Danio rerio: one gene and its partners. The protein of the gene in region 3 purifies or fractionates together with the protein of the main gene of each other region. This does not show direct contact. Links are inferred from orthologs where the notes say so. Each region holds a gene or a part of one and is shown on either strand. Other genes may lie near its edges.

The links.
Region 1: the proteins of chd8 (region 3) and kpna5 purify together in Homo sapiens (affinity purification with mass spectrometry; 3 studies listed by BioGRID and IntAct, with this or other methods). This does not show direct contact. The link is inferred for Danio rerio from reciprocal best matches to the Homo sapiens genes CHD8 and KPNA5.
Region 2: the proteins of chd8 (region 3) and kpna1 purify together in Homo sapiens (affinity purification with mass spectrometry; 6 studies listed by BioGRID and IntAct, with this or other methods). This does not show direct contact. The link is inferred for Danio rerio from reciprocal best matches to the Homo sapiens genes CHD8 and KPNA1.

The regions. Positions count from the first base shown.
Region 1 is NC_133191.1:35,382,235-35,386,494, reverse strand, and holds the start of kpna5 (importin subunit alpha-6), read left to right. Parts: upstream 1-1,450; 5' UTR 1,451-1,548; coding exon 1,549-1,552; exon of another isoform or gene 1,553-1,601; intron 1,602-4,260. UniProt on the Homo sapiens protein: Functions in nuclear protein import as an adapter protein for nuclear receptor KPNB1. Binds specifically and directly to substrates containing either a simple or bipartite NLS motif.
Region 2 is NC_133199.1:24,833,997-24,838,108, forward strand, and holds the start of kpna1 (importin subunit alpha-5), read right to left. Parts: upstream 2,944-4,112; 5' UTR 2,772-2,943; coding exon 2,609-2,771; intron 154-2,608; coding exon 17-153; intron 1-16. UniProt on the Homo sapiens protein: Functions in nuclear protein import as an adapter protein for nuclear receptor KPNB1. Binds specifically and directly to substrates containing either a simple or bipartite NLS motif.
Region 3 is NC_133177.1:41,131,404-41,135,059, reverse strand, and holds part of chd8 (chromodomain-helicase-DNA-binding protein 8), read left to right. Parts: intron 1-107; coding exon 108-245; intron 246-377; coding exon 378-499; intron 500-1,609; coding exon 1,610-1,853; intron 1,854-3,656. UniProt on the Homo sapiens protein: ATP-dependent chromatin-remodeling factor, it slides nucleosomes along DNA; nucleosome sliding requires ATP. Acts as a transcription repressor by remodeling chromatin structure and recruiting histone H1 to target genes.

The DNA of each region.
Region 1 (4,260 bases), on a different chromosome or scaffold from region 3:
TTCTGCAGGGTGCACGAAGTAAAATTTAATACTTTTAAAATAACTGTTTTAGACAATTATGAATGAAATTGCAGACTTATACAGGCCTAAACACTAAGGTTATTTTCTAATGGCCTTAGAAAATAACCTTATCCATGTCCCATGGAAAAAAATGTTTACTTGCCCCTTACAAAAAATCTAGTTAGTTATTTCTTTGCCACATTTATTCATTCATTCATTCGTTAGTCTCTATTTCAGAGGTCGCCACAGCAGAATGAACCACCAACTATTCATAAATTTTACGCACCGGATGTGCTTCTAGCCACAACACAGTACTGGGAAACACCCATACACACTCACATTCACAAACTATGAGCAATTGAATGTAGTACATTCAAATCACCTATAGCGCATATTTTAACCGGAGCACCCAGAGGAAACACACGCCAACATGGGGAGAACATGCAGACTACACACTGATATGCCGACTGGCCCAGCCGGGACACAAACCAGCAACATTTCTTAGCCACACATTTTTGGTTGTTTATATACTTTTTTTTCAACATAACTTTTTTCAATCAAACAAACAAAACTAAAACAAAAAACTATAATAATCTATATGTGTGCACAACATTCTGTCCAGATCAGTGTCCTCCTCATATGATCTATAAATGCACAGACAACTGAGAAAATGTTAGCGTAAGAAAGATAATTAAACCATATTGATAAGTAGAGTTAGAAATAAGAGTTTTGTTAAAAGTTTTTAGATGGATCGTTGGTGATTGGATGAGTGTTAGGTAACATGAAAATGAAGAGCTCTTTAAAATACTTTAAGACCTACTACAAGACAATGTTTTAATTAATTTAAGACATTTTAGGACTTTTTAAGACCCTGATAGAGAAAAAAACATCTAAATGACAAAATCATCCTTAAAGACTCAAACAGTTATTGGAGGAAATGTAATATTAGTTTATTCTAAGTTTTAACTAGTTATGTGATATAAATGCTGTCATAATATTTGATATATAGCAAATATTATGTTACATGACATTACTTGACATTTTATTTCGACAAATTTATGTAAGTGTAGCTTTTGTTTAGATTATGTATATACTATTACAAAACTCAGACGTGACGATTTGACCTCAGTTAAGCAGAAACCTGGGTTTTATCAAGATGCACCTGACGCGACGTTGTGTATTGACTGTCAACAAAGAAAACCAGTTAACTTAACTAACGTTAGTCGGTTACACAATAACATGTATCCCGCCAAAACCCTTCTTATAATCGCTTCATGTACAACAATAACAAAAAGTCCTACTAATGCATTTAAATCGCCAGTGGTATGCTACTTACCTATACAGAAGTAAATAAGCAAACACCAACAATCGGCCGTTTCACTTTTCATTTGTTATTGAATGAGGCCGCTCGAGAAAACCGGAAACAGCAGAGGAGATGACGTTCCTCTCCAGTCGACGCCATATTGCCCTCAGCTGGAGGAACTCGGGAGGGTCTTGTGAGAAATTTAAAAACACACGGCCAGTATTTCTCTCTCCAGTCTACAACAAATGGGTATGACTCGTATACTTTCTAATATGTAAATGACGTTTCTTTTTAGGGAGTGAATGTTAAAGCAGGGCGCTTATAGAGAGCAGAGGGACGTTTTGACGTTCAATCTAAGCTAGCACAACACGGTTAGCGTGTTAGCACAAGGAAGCTGATCGCAGATCAGGGTGAAAGTGAAGAGGCCTGCAGGATTAACGTTAGGCTGACTATAAATATGTAACGTATTAAAATGTACTAGTGGTTTTGACAGACTTTTTGATTCAAGTCGTCCAGCTGTCCCGTTAAAGCATGTGCTAATTGCGCTAACATTGCCGAAGGAACGTTTCATTTTAATCGGCTTGTATTAACGATTAAAGATGCTTTTAGTCATTTTAAAACAAGAACAGTTCATGTAGTGAATGTTAAGTTTAATGTCTATTAAATTACTTTACAGTCTTTCCTCACCAACACAATCAGCTGATCCGATTAAAACACGAGTGCTTTATTTATGTAAACCTATTTTTCAGAAGTTAGAGAAGATGTCGACAGCATGTTTTGAGTCTTGGAGTGAATGTCCCTTCAACAAATTACATTTCTGTTAAACGTCAAGTTGTTTCAGTTCATAACTGCGTGATATGTTGTCCTCCTCAGTGTAAGCAGGTGTTGGGGCTGACAGCCTGCATTCATTATTATTGCACTATTCCTATGCATCGATACATTGAGGTAAAGTTGGTTTTCTATTCGCTCATTCGTTCACTTTAACGGTTCCTTTATTGTTTACCACGCTACTTTGAATATTCGGTCTAAAATCGCTTGCAAGGATGACTTCAAAACAACTTAGCACTATTTAATTGACTGTGAACACGGTTAGTCATTGACTGCTTATATAATTTCACTGTTTGGAATTTGCAAGTAATACTTTTTTGAAATTATATTATTAAGTCTGAATGTGTTAATGTAAAACCAACTTTACCTCAATCATCAATACTTGTTGGTGAACCAGTCTGTCCTTTTGCAGAAAAGGCTGATTTGTTATTAATCTTATTGAGGGGATTAAACATTTACTTTGATGTGCCAATATTCGAAAGAGTACTGTGTGTGGACCAAAAAATGTATTATTGCACATATTTTTAGGCATATTTTTGGGCTTGGCAGGTTTGGTTCGATTAAAACTGAGTTGTAATTTCGTTATGCAGTTAATTTGAATGAGTGTAGATTCTGGTAAATCTGCCATCTGAATCGTGGCGTGTACTAAACAAACTGAAATGATTCTTGTGTGGTTCAACTTAAATATGAATGCAACATTGGCAAAAGAAATCAAAACAAAGCAAAAGCACAAATTTATGTCATTAGGTGTGACTTTAAATGGCATGTTGTCCATTACAATTCAGTGCAAGGATCAAAAACGCATGTCCTTGTAGATCTTCACTGTGTGTGTGTGTGTGTGTGTGTGTGTGTGTGTGTGTGTGTGTGTGTGTGTGTGTGTGTGTGTGTGTGTGTGTGTGTGTGTGTGTGAGACAGAGGAATCCCTGCAGCAATTCTAACACATTTTTTAAGTTCTAAACAATTTTTATTTTTTAAAGAAAGTTGTCACTTGTGACCAAGTATGGTAACATTTTTTTTAATAAAATTTCAGTTTAGGTTTATTAACTATACTCTAAAAATTATTCTGCATAAATTCTGAGATTTTATACAAAATTGGGCACATAAATAGGATCTGGCTTGAGTCTGGAGAAACCAGGATTAATAAACTACTAGTGCTATAACTAAACTACAGAAATATGTCAGTATGTAGTTATTAGTGCATTGATTAGAAGACCACGTAATATCTGTTTGAATGTTCCATCAACAGGCATTCTTCAGACTATAAGTAACTTTGCTAGTACGTCAGCACATTCTTGAAGGCCTAACTTGAAACCCTGTTCAAGCTGTGACCTGGTATTAGAATGCATTTTGTTTGGAGTGGACAATTCTGACACAGATTTAACTGGATGTTTTTACCTTAACCACATTTAGAGTTTTGGAAATCACCTTGAATTAAATTTCTCTTGTGGTGTAGATGATCATTTGGTTGTATGCATTCAAACAGCCACAAAAACCAACTATTCTCATGCTTAAATATTACACATTACATGATGTTGTTGAAGTGCGCTAGTCACGTCAGATTTAAACTATATATTATATTAAGTTTGTATCAAAGGCAAAAGCAAGTAATGATAAAAAAATATATATTTTATTAACCCATATTGATTGTAACACGAGCCAAGAGTGTTTTGTGTATCATCTCTCTGTTCTATATATCATTTCCTGTTTCATGTTGTTGATATATAAATAATGTGTGGTTATTTTGCAATATGTGATCTAGGTATGCTCAGATCAGGGTTTTTACAGCTGATAATGAGTACCGATTCCTTGTTTATTGTGTTGATACAGGAGTACTGATTCTGATGCTTCAAGCTTCATAATGCATTAAGCACATTTTCCCTCTAAGTTGATTTAAGTGGAGTTTTCTCCTTACCTAAGAGAATAAATTAAAGATGCTTCAAATAATCCCTTAACACATCTCTTATGACCATTTAATGTGGACATATCATGGTCAGGAGCAGCTTTACAGAAAATAATAGATGAAACTGATAAAAAAAATTGTTAGAAATTATTAATAATGCAATTTAGAAACACTGCAAATGATGGAAGAATTCAACTCTTCTCAATCAAGAAAAAGTTTGGAATGCACA
Region 2 (4,112 bases), on a different chromosome or scaffold from region 3:
TCTCCACTTGACTTACTTGTTCATCTTTCTTTTGTTTTCGAAGTTGCAGGCCTTCTTCCTCCCTCCTCCTCCTCATCTCATCTGTGTTGAGCGATTTGTTTTTATAGCTTTTGAGACGTGCATTGTCCTTCCCTTGACTCATGATGTTGTCTGCTGTAAAGAGACGATCAAAGCAAGATGAGCACAATAGAAAAATCATCAAGACTTATTAAAATACTTGCTTGATCTCTGCTAGATCACAGACCTCTTGAAAAGATCATTTAATGTCACTTGTTTCCATAGGCAGTGGAGACACACATACACACAAATTTTTACATCCTGCATTAGTGACAAAACTAATCTGACAGCAACCTTACTGAAAGGTCCTGTTATGACATTTTAATATACCTTGTTAAATAACATTGAGAAAAGTAAACATTTTAAGAGAAACCTATCCAGAGATTAACTATTCACAATTAGGAACATAAGATGCATTTAGAAAATAAATACATTGAATTTTCTTTTAATTTCATTTCAAGTTTTTAGCTTTTTCTTCACATTACTTTTATATTATTCACAATTAAATATATATATATATATATATATATATATATATATATATATATATATATATATATATATATATATATATATGCACAATATTGGAAAAATCTAACAATGCAATATTTTTTTGATTTTGCCATATAAATGAAATTTTCCCAGATGACTTAATATCTTTATTTTTGTCAAGAATTTATAATGTTAGATCGATTGGGATGATTCTGTAGTGGGAGAGCATATAAACAGTTTCTGTATAAACAATTTCTGTATTTGCATGTGCTGTGTTGTGAGTATTAATGATGAATTAATTTTTACTATTTGCATCCCTATAAAATCAAATAAACAATCTTTACATTTTTAGGGTACCTACCCAGACACATTTTTGTTGTGGTCTGTGCTATTTGCAGTGCATTTCTGTATATGCACTTGTGAGTATTTTTATTCATAACAATCTATTAATACAATCAACAAACTTCAATAAAAATAATCGTAGTTAAGGTCACAAATTGTGCAATTTCTTATAGCTGAATGCTTTTGAAGACATTATACAATCACAGGCATAAACAAAACATGTGCAAATGATACATTTTAATACAAACTACAACAACATTGCATATCCTGCGATATGACTATTGCGAATGATCACATTGCAATATTGATCGAAACGATATATTGTGCAGCCCTAATACTAACATTATTCTATTTTAAATTATTACAATTGTCTTGCTGATAAATCTGTAAAAAAGAAAGAAAAAAGTTTGAAATGTAAATGAATTATTATTTTTTGCTTCACTGTAATCCTTAAATTGGGTTTTATTATGTCATTGAAAGATGCCCACAAAACCTTTTATTTCTAAATTTTATGCTAATATGGTGAAATCTGACAAACATACTTTATCAACAGAGTGATAAAATAAGACATTCAAAATCCCTTTTGCATATGCCAATAATATGAAACAAAAATTAACCAGTGCTCAAAATTGTATGTTTAAATTTAAGTACATCAGCCCATTTTGAGTTCGACAGGACCTTGCTTTAATATGAAACCTGAACATTTCAGACACCTAATGGATCATAAAACAATTAACAATATTGAGGAAGTATGGTGATATGTATTAATTATTATTCACTGGTTTAGCTATTTCTACCCTGTTCAACAGTGGTGCTTTGGCCCAATATCTTCAAACTATTTATGTTTCTTATTTATTAGTAGTAGTTGTGGCAATGTTTTCTATTTTAGGACTGCACTGTTATCCTTACATACAGTCTTCTAATACATCGTCAAAAGACTACTGCTTTAAATGTGTCTGACATGATTTCTGGCATGTAAACAGTTTGGTGTCTTCTTTAAATCATGGTAAAAATGTTTGTTAAGACTTTTTTTTTCTAAACTATATATATTTTTTCTATTTATAAATTTAGTCTATGATTTTATTTTGTTTGTTTATCAGACGGTTTTCAACATGTCAGGCAAATTTCTAAATGCTTTGACACTATTTTTGATAAAAATATTTCATAAAAGATAAGGATTAAACGCAAAGCTTGAGCTAAACAACCACCACGGACGATAACATTTATTATTTATTTATCTCTAGCCAGTGTACCTGTGACATTTAGTCTCAAACTACTAAAAACAATATAAAACAGAGGCTGCATGGATCTGTCAGTGTGTTTTGGGCAGTGGTGCTAGAGCCCGCAGTGAAGAGGATCGACCCATCAAACCATCCACACCTAAAAACAGCCGCCAAACGCACCAATCTCACCGATCATCGCATCACAGAAGCGGAAACGATCGATTCAAGTTAACAAAATGTCATTTTTGCTCCACACGAGCTAGTGATCATCGACTGAAGAGCAGGTTTGTTAGTAATATCGTCTTAACAGCGGACTCGCCTCCCCCTCCCAGATCTGCGCAGCAGCCTCTGTTAGCTTATCTGCTAACCCAGCCAACAAGGTTGTCCGACTAACGCCTTTTATCTGTGTTTTAACATTATAATCTTTTGAATTTGACATCATGTAGACGGAATAAAACCAGACAGACACAAGTTATCCACACTGGCGTACTGACCTGTCAAAACGGCCTCGTTTATCCCTGCGTCGTTTAAGCTGCAACCGTTCAGCCTCCGCCGGTATAGTGACACTGCACATGCGCATTGTGAGAGGACATCGTGTGCGAAGCGCATGTCTGCTTCTCGGTGTTGCCAGTTCTGTGTAACGAACAGTGTTGCCATCTCCGCGCTTTATAAGTAAACATTATAAGCTTATATACATATATTTAAAAACAAATACATAGCTTATAATAAATTATCTATGTAGATACCTTTTATATCACATAACTCATTTTGTAGCATTCATACAAATCATAAAGCATATGCCAAAATAATTGGCAGTTCATTTCGCTGTGGTGACTCCTGATAAATCTATTATTATTATTATTTTTATGATTATTAATAATAATAATAATTGCTTTCGCCTCACAGCAAGAAGGTTGCTGGGTCGCTGGTTCAAGCCTCAGCTTGGTCAGTTGGTGTTTCTGTGTGGAGTTTGCATGTTCTCCCTGCGTTTGCGTGGGTTTCCTCTAGGTGCTCCAGTTTCCTCCACAGTCCAAAGACATGCGGTACAGGTGAATTTGGTAGGTTAAGTTGTCCGCAGTGTATGAGTGTGTGTGTGTGTGAATGAGTGTGAGTATGTTTTTTTTTAAGCCAGAAAGAAAATGAATGGATAAATGAATGAAAATAATAATAATATTTTATTATTATTATTAAGTACATTTATTTATTCATATGAACGTCATTTTTATCTATTTATTTTGTATAGGCCAATCATATATAATTTAAATTGAATATCTACATCTCATCTTACTTATTTGTTTACTCAGTTGTTTTACACAGTGGATGGCTGTATGCCTTTCCAGCTGCAACTTAGCACTGAAAGTACAACACTCAATGCTGGGAAACAACCACAGACTCTCCCATTCACACACATTTAGCCAATTTAGTTGATTCAGTTTGCCTATAACTTCACCTACATCTTTGGACTGTGGGGGAAACCGGAGCACCTGGGGAAAACTCGAGCAAACACAGAAATAGCCACACAGAAATAGCAACTCAAACAAGCAACCTTCTTGTGGTGAGGCAACCATGCTAGCCTCAGCCAATGTGCCATGGCTGAATGAATTGTTATCATATACACATTCATTCGTTTTCTTTTCAGCTTAGTCTCTTTCTTAATCAGGGTCACCACAGCAGAATAAACTGCCAACTTACGCAGCAATATGCCAACACAGAAATGCCAACTGACCTCGAACCTTCTTGCTGTGAGGTGACATCGCTACCCACTGCGCCTCCATCATATACACATATGTATTTTTATTATTTGTATAAAGAAATATATGTGAACAGTAATTTATAAATACAGTAAATCCTTTTGTTCATGTATTATCATCATATCACTTTTCCTTTATTCTTACATAATCACTCCTTTTGTAAAATTATTTAACAATGTTGGTTTATTACTCTCTTTTTGTTTTTATTGAGTCACTTTGAATGTTGTTTTTGTATTTTTGTATAAGT
Region 3 (3,656 bases):
GTGTGTGGATGTTTGTTTTGTGCTATAACGTTTTACATCACATTTTATTTCAACTGCACACAAGCAACAAAAGCACAGATTCTGAATTCTATTTTTCCTTTTTACAGCCAGTTGTGTACTACCTGGTGAAGTGGTGCTCTCTACCCTATGAAGATGCTACTTGGGAGCTGAAGGAGGATGTTGATGAAGGCAAAGTGGAAGAATTCAGGAAGATTGAAAGCCGCCAACCACGACTCAAGAGAACTGTGAGATACTGTTTTGTCTGGCTCTTTCTCTCTTCTCACTGGATCATTTTTATCCTGCCTGTATTTTTTGGTTTTCATTAAGAAACAAGACGAAACCGTATGAATTATTAACAAGTCTTGCTCTTCCATCAGCCTCGGCCTGCTGCAAGTGCCTGGAAAAAGCTAGATGAGTCCACCGAGTATAAGAATGGGAACCAGCTCAGAGAATACCAGCTTGAGGGAGTCAACTGGCTGCTCTTTAACTGGTACAACAGGTAAATATATAGCTTATTCAACTTTTATTTGTCCACCCTTTACAATTGAGGGCATCCACACCTTTTAACAGTTTCCTTTTGCATTAAAGGTCCTTTGAAGTTAAAATAATGTTTTTAGATAATAGTATGACTGTTAGTTTTAAGAATACCATACTTATATCATCATATCATTAATATCGTACGCCTCATACTTTAGTTTCTCTTCAAATCTTCCGACCAATCATTAGCTCTCGACTCCTCTTCAACATGCTTTTCATTTGATGCGATCGATCTCAACCACTGACACCGGCAGAGCTGTGCTTAAAACAAAATGCTGTTGGCTGTTTTTTATATAAACAGGAGGAACTACTATGTCCTGTCATAATTCATTTGAGATTACGTCAAGTTTAAATGCACAGTTCAGAGCACTTCACAGGACTCATAAGTTGTGATTTTACAGAAGGTTAAGCTTTTCAGCTTTGAGGCTTCGTTAAACTTCTGTAATCCTAGTTGACAAAATAAAAGCATTTTTACATTTTCAAGCGTTCTCTTCCAGGAGATTGAATCAAAAATATTGATGATTCATTTCCTCTGCTCAGGGGTGCATAAAATGCTCTCTAGAGTGAGATTGTTCCCTCCTTCTCAATTATAAATACCACCTGCCACTGATCCAGCATTACAACAGTGAGCAGACAGTTGCTTGGCGATACACACCATAAGTAAATAATTTGACAGCCTACTATTTGGACACAACAACGGCCTCCTGGTAATTCTAGTGGGCGTCCTTATCAAAACAGTCACCCTGGGTTCTTTGTTTGAATTATGGCCTTACTCAAATAACTGATGCTGGCACATTTTTCTTATTACCATCTGAATCTGGCTGGACTGCAGGAGTAGGTGAAGATGTTGATGAGAATTCGCTGCAATTTATTATGAAGTCACCTAAATGATTCTGTCCATGATTCAATTTAGGCCTGATGTTAAATAAATTTTGTGGAGTCAGTAGTGGTTAATAAAGGGCAGATAATGAAAGGATTTGCAAAACAGCAGGCTACAAGTGTATGAGAAGAATGATGTTTCTCTTTTTCAAATCTTACACGGTCTGTTTTGTATTCGTGACTTCCCACACAGGCAAAACTGCATCCTAGCGGATGAAATGGGTCTGGGGAAGACAATTCAGTCCATTGCCCTGCTGTCAGAGATGTTTTCTGCGGGGGTCCAGAGCCCGTTCATGATCATTGCCCCTCTGTCCACGATCACAAACTGGGAAAGAGAGTTTTCGAACTGGACTGATATGAATGCTATTGTTTATCACGGCAGTCTGGCTAGTAGACAGATGATCCAGCAGTATGAAATGTACTGCAAAGATGACAAGGTTGGTGTATGAATTTTTTCTTTATTCGATTCGTTTGATGGCTACAGCAAACAAAAATCTCTTGGAGAAAAGATCTTGGGAATGTTTTAAAGTATTTTTGAGGAATATTGAAAGGAATATTCAAACCTGTAGATTTTGACTTTGATTTTGAAAACAGGGACTTTAATTGCTACAAGGTTGCATTTTCTTTTTTGTTTGTTCCTCTTTTACATGGCAACATTTTAAAGCATGTAAAAAGAATTAATGGTAAATGTTTGTACATACATTTTGCTTTCCTCTACATTGTCTTTTAAGATGGAGATGTTTTATTGGGGTCAATAAAAAGGTTTTTACTGTTCATTCCTGTTTTACCTGTAAAAATATAATTTAAAATGTTATATACAATGGAAACCAGTGCCTCATTCATGCAATTCTCAAGTTTAGAGTAGTTAACAGTTTAATGGCCTGTTTCCACTAAGTAGTACGGTATGGGTTGGTATGCTTTTATGGCTGTTTCTTCCACTGTCAAAAGGTACCTGAAAGCAAATCGTACCGTACCACTTTTTGGGTATCCTTTCCAAAGGCTACCTAGCACAACAAAAGGGTACCAAAAGGCGGAACTGAATGTTATTGGTTCAAAGAGATGCGTCACTATCGCTTGTACAAACCAGGAGAACGAAAACAAAGGAAGCGCCATTTTTAAAATACACAGCCAAGGGATTACTTCGTGATAATATATACATATAATAACGAGCCATGGTCGACCCAAGCTCAAACAAACCTTGTCGTCGACTTGATGAACAGCCACAAAGCCAAAAAGATAAACCATGCGAGAGTGAAGCACGAAAAAGCAAGAAGTTTGAAAAAAGCATCAAATGATTCTTTCAGCAACCTAAAACATGAATAAACTGCCTTGTTTAACTATTATCATCACCTTTTGGACTATTATGAACTCAGAATTATGGAATTACTCTCTAACAGAGCCTACATGTGCTGGTAAAGATTATAGACACAGATGAGAGGTTTGCACTGACTGGGGGCAATGTTGCGTGTTGTTTTAAACCAAATAAGGACTAAATGTATGCTGTGTGTAGTTTTTTTGTAATTGATAATATATTGGAGACTGTAACTGTCTGTATGTGTTCATATATGCTGCATTTATTTATTTATTTTATGCAATTGTGGACGTTGCAGAAGTTGCTATTTTGCACATTGATCAATGATCTGCTGTTATAATCAAATCATGTTCATCGAACAATTGCTTCTCATATGATATGTGAATGACCCATACAGCTTTACTTTGACATTTCCTCAAGCAAGAATAACGTAGACTGAAACTTTGTCGTACACCACTCCCACCAGAGGGGTATCCGAACCGACCCACTTAGTGGAAACGTGCATTAGATGATGTCCTCTCTTTAAGTATCATACCCTGTTTCTTTTATTTAACATTTCTTTAAATTAATTATGAATTATGATACTTGTTAATTCATTGGCCTTATCCAAACTTTTGTTTTAGGGCACGTCCAGGTGTGATTGCTGTGTTCATATATTTCTTAACAAACCAAACTAAGGGGGGGAAAAGCCCAGCAGATTCTGAAAGTTGAAGTACAAAAGTGTCTAAAACTCAATAAAAATAAAATAAACCTGAATGGAAAAAAAAAATCAAAACACACAAAGAAAACTTTAAATGAAAACATAATATAAAAATCTAAAAGTTACAGAAGTAATGTGGTAATAAAACAAAGCTAACACTGCTGAGCACAAGTTATACAAGTTCCTTTTATTTTCATTGCTCTATTCTAACTTCCCCTATTTCCACCC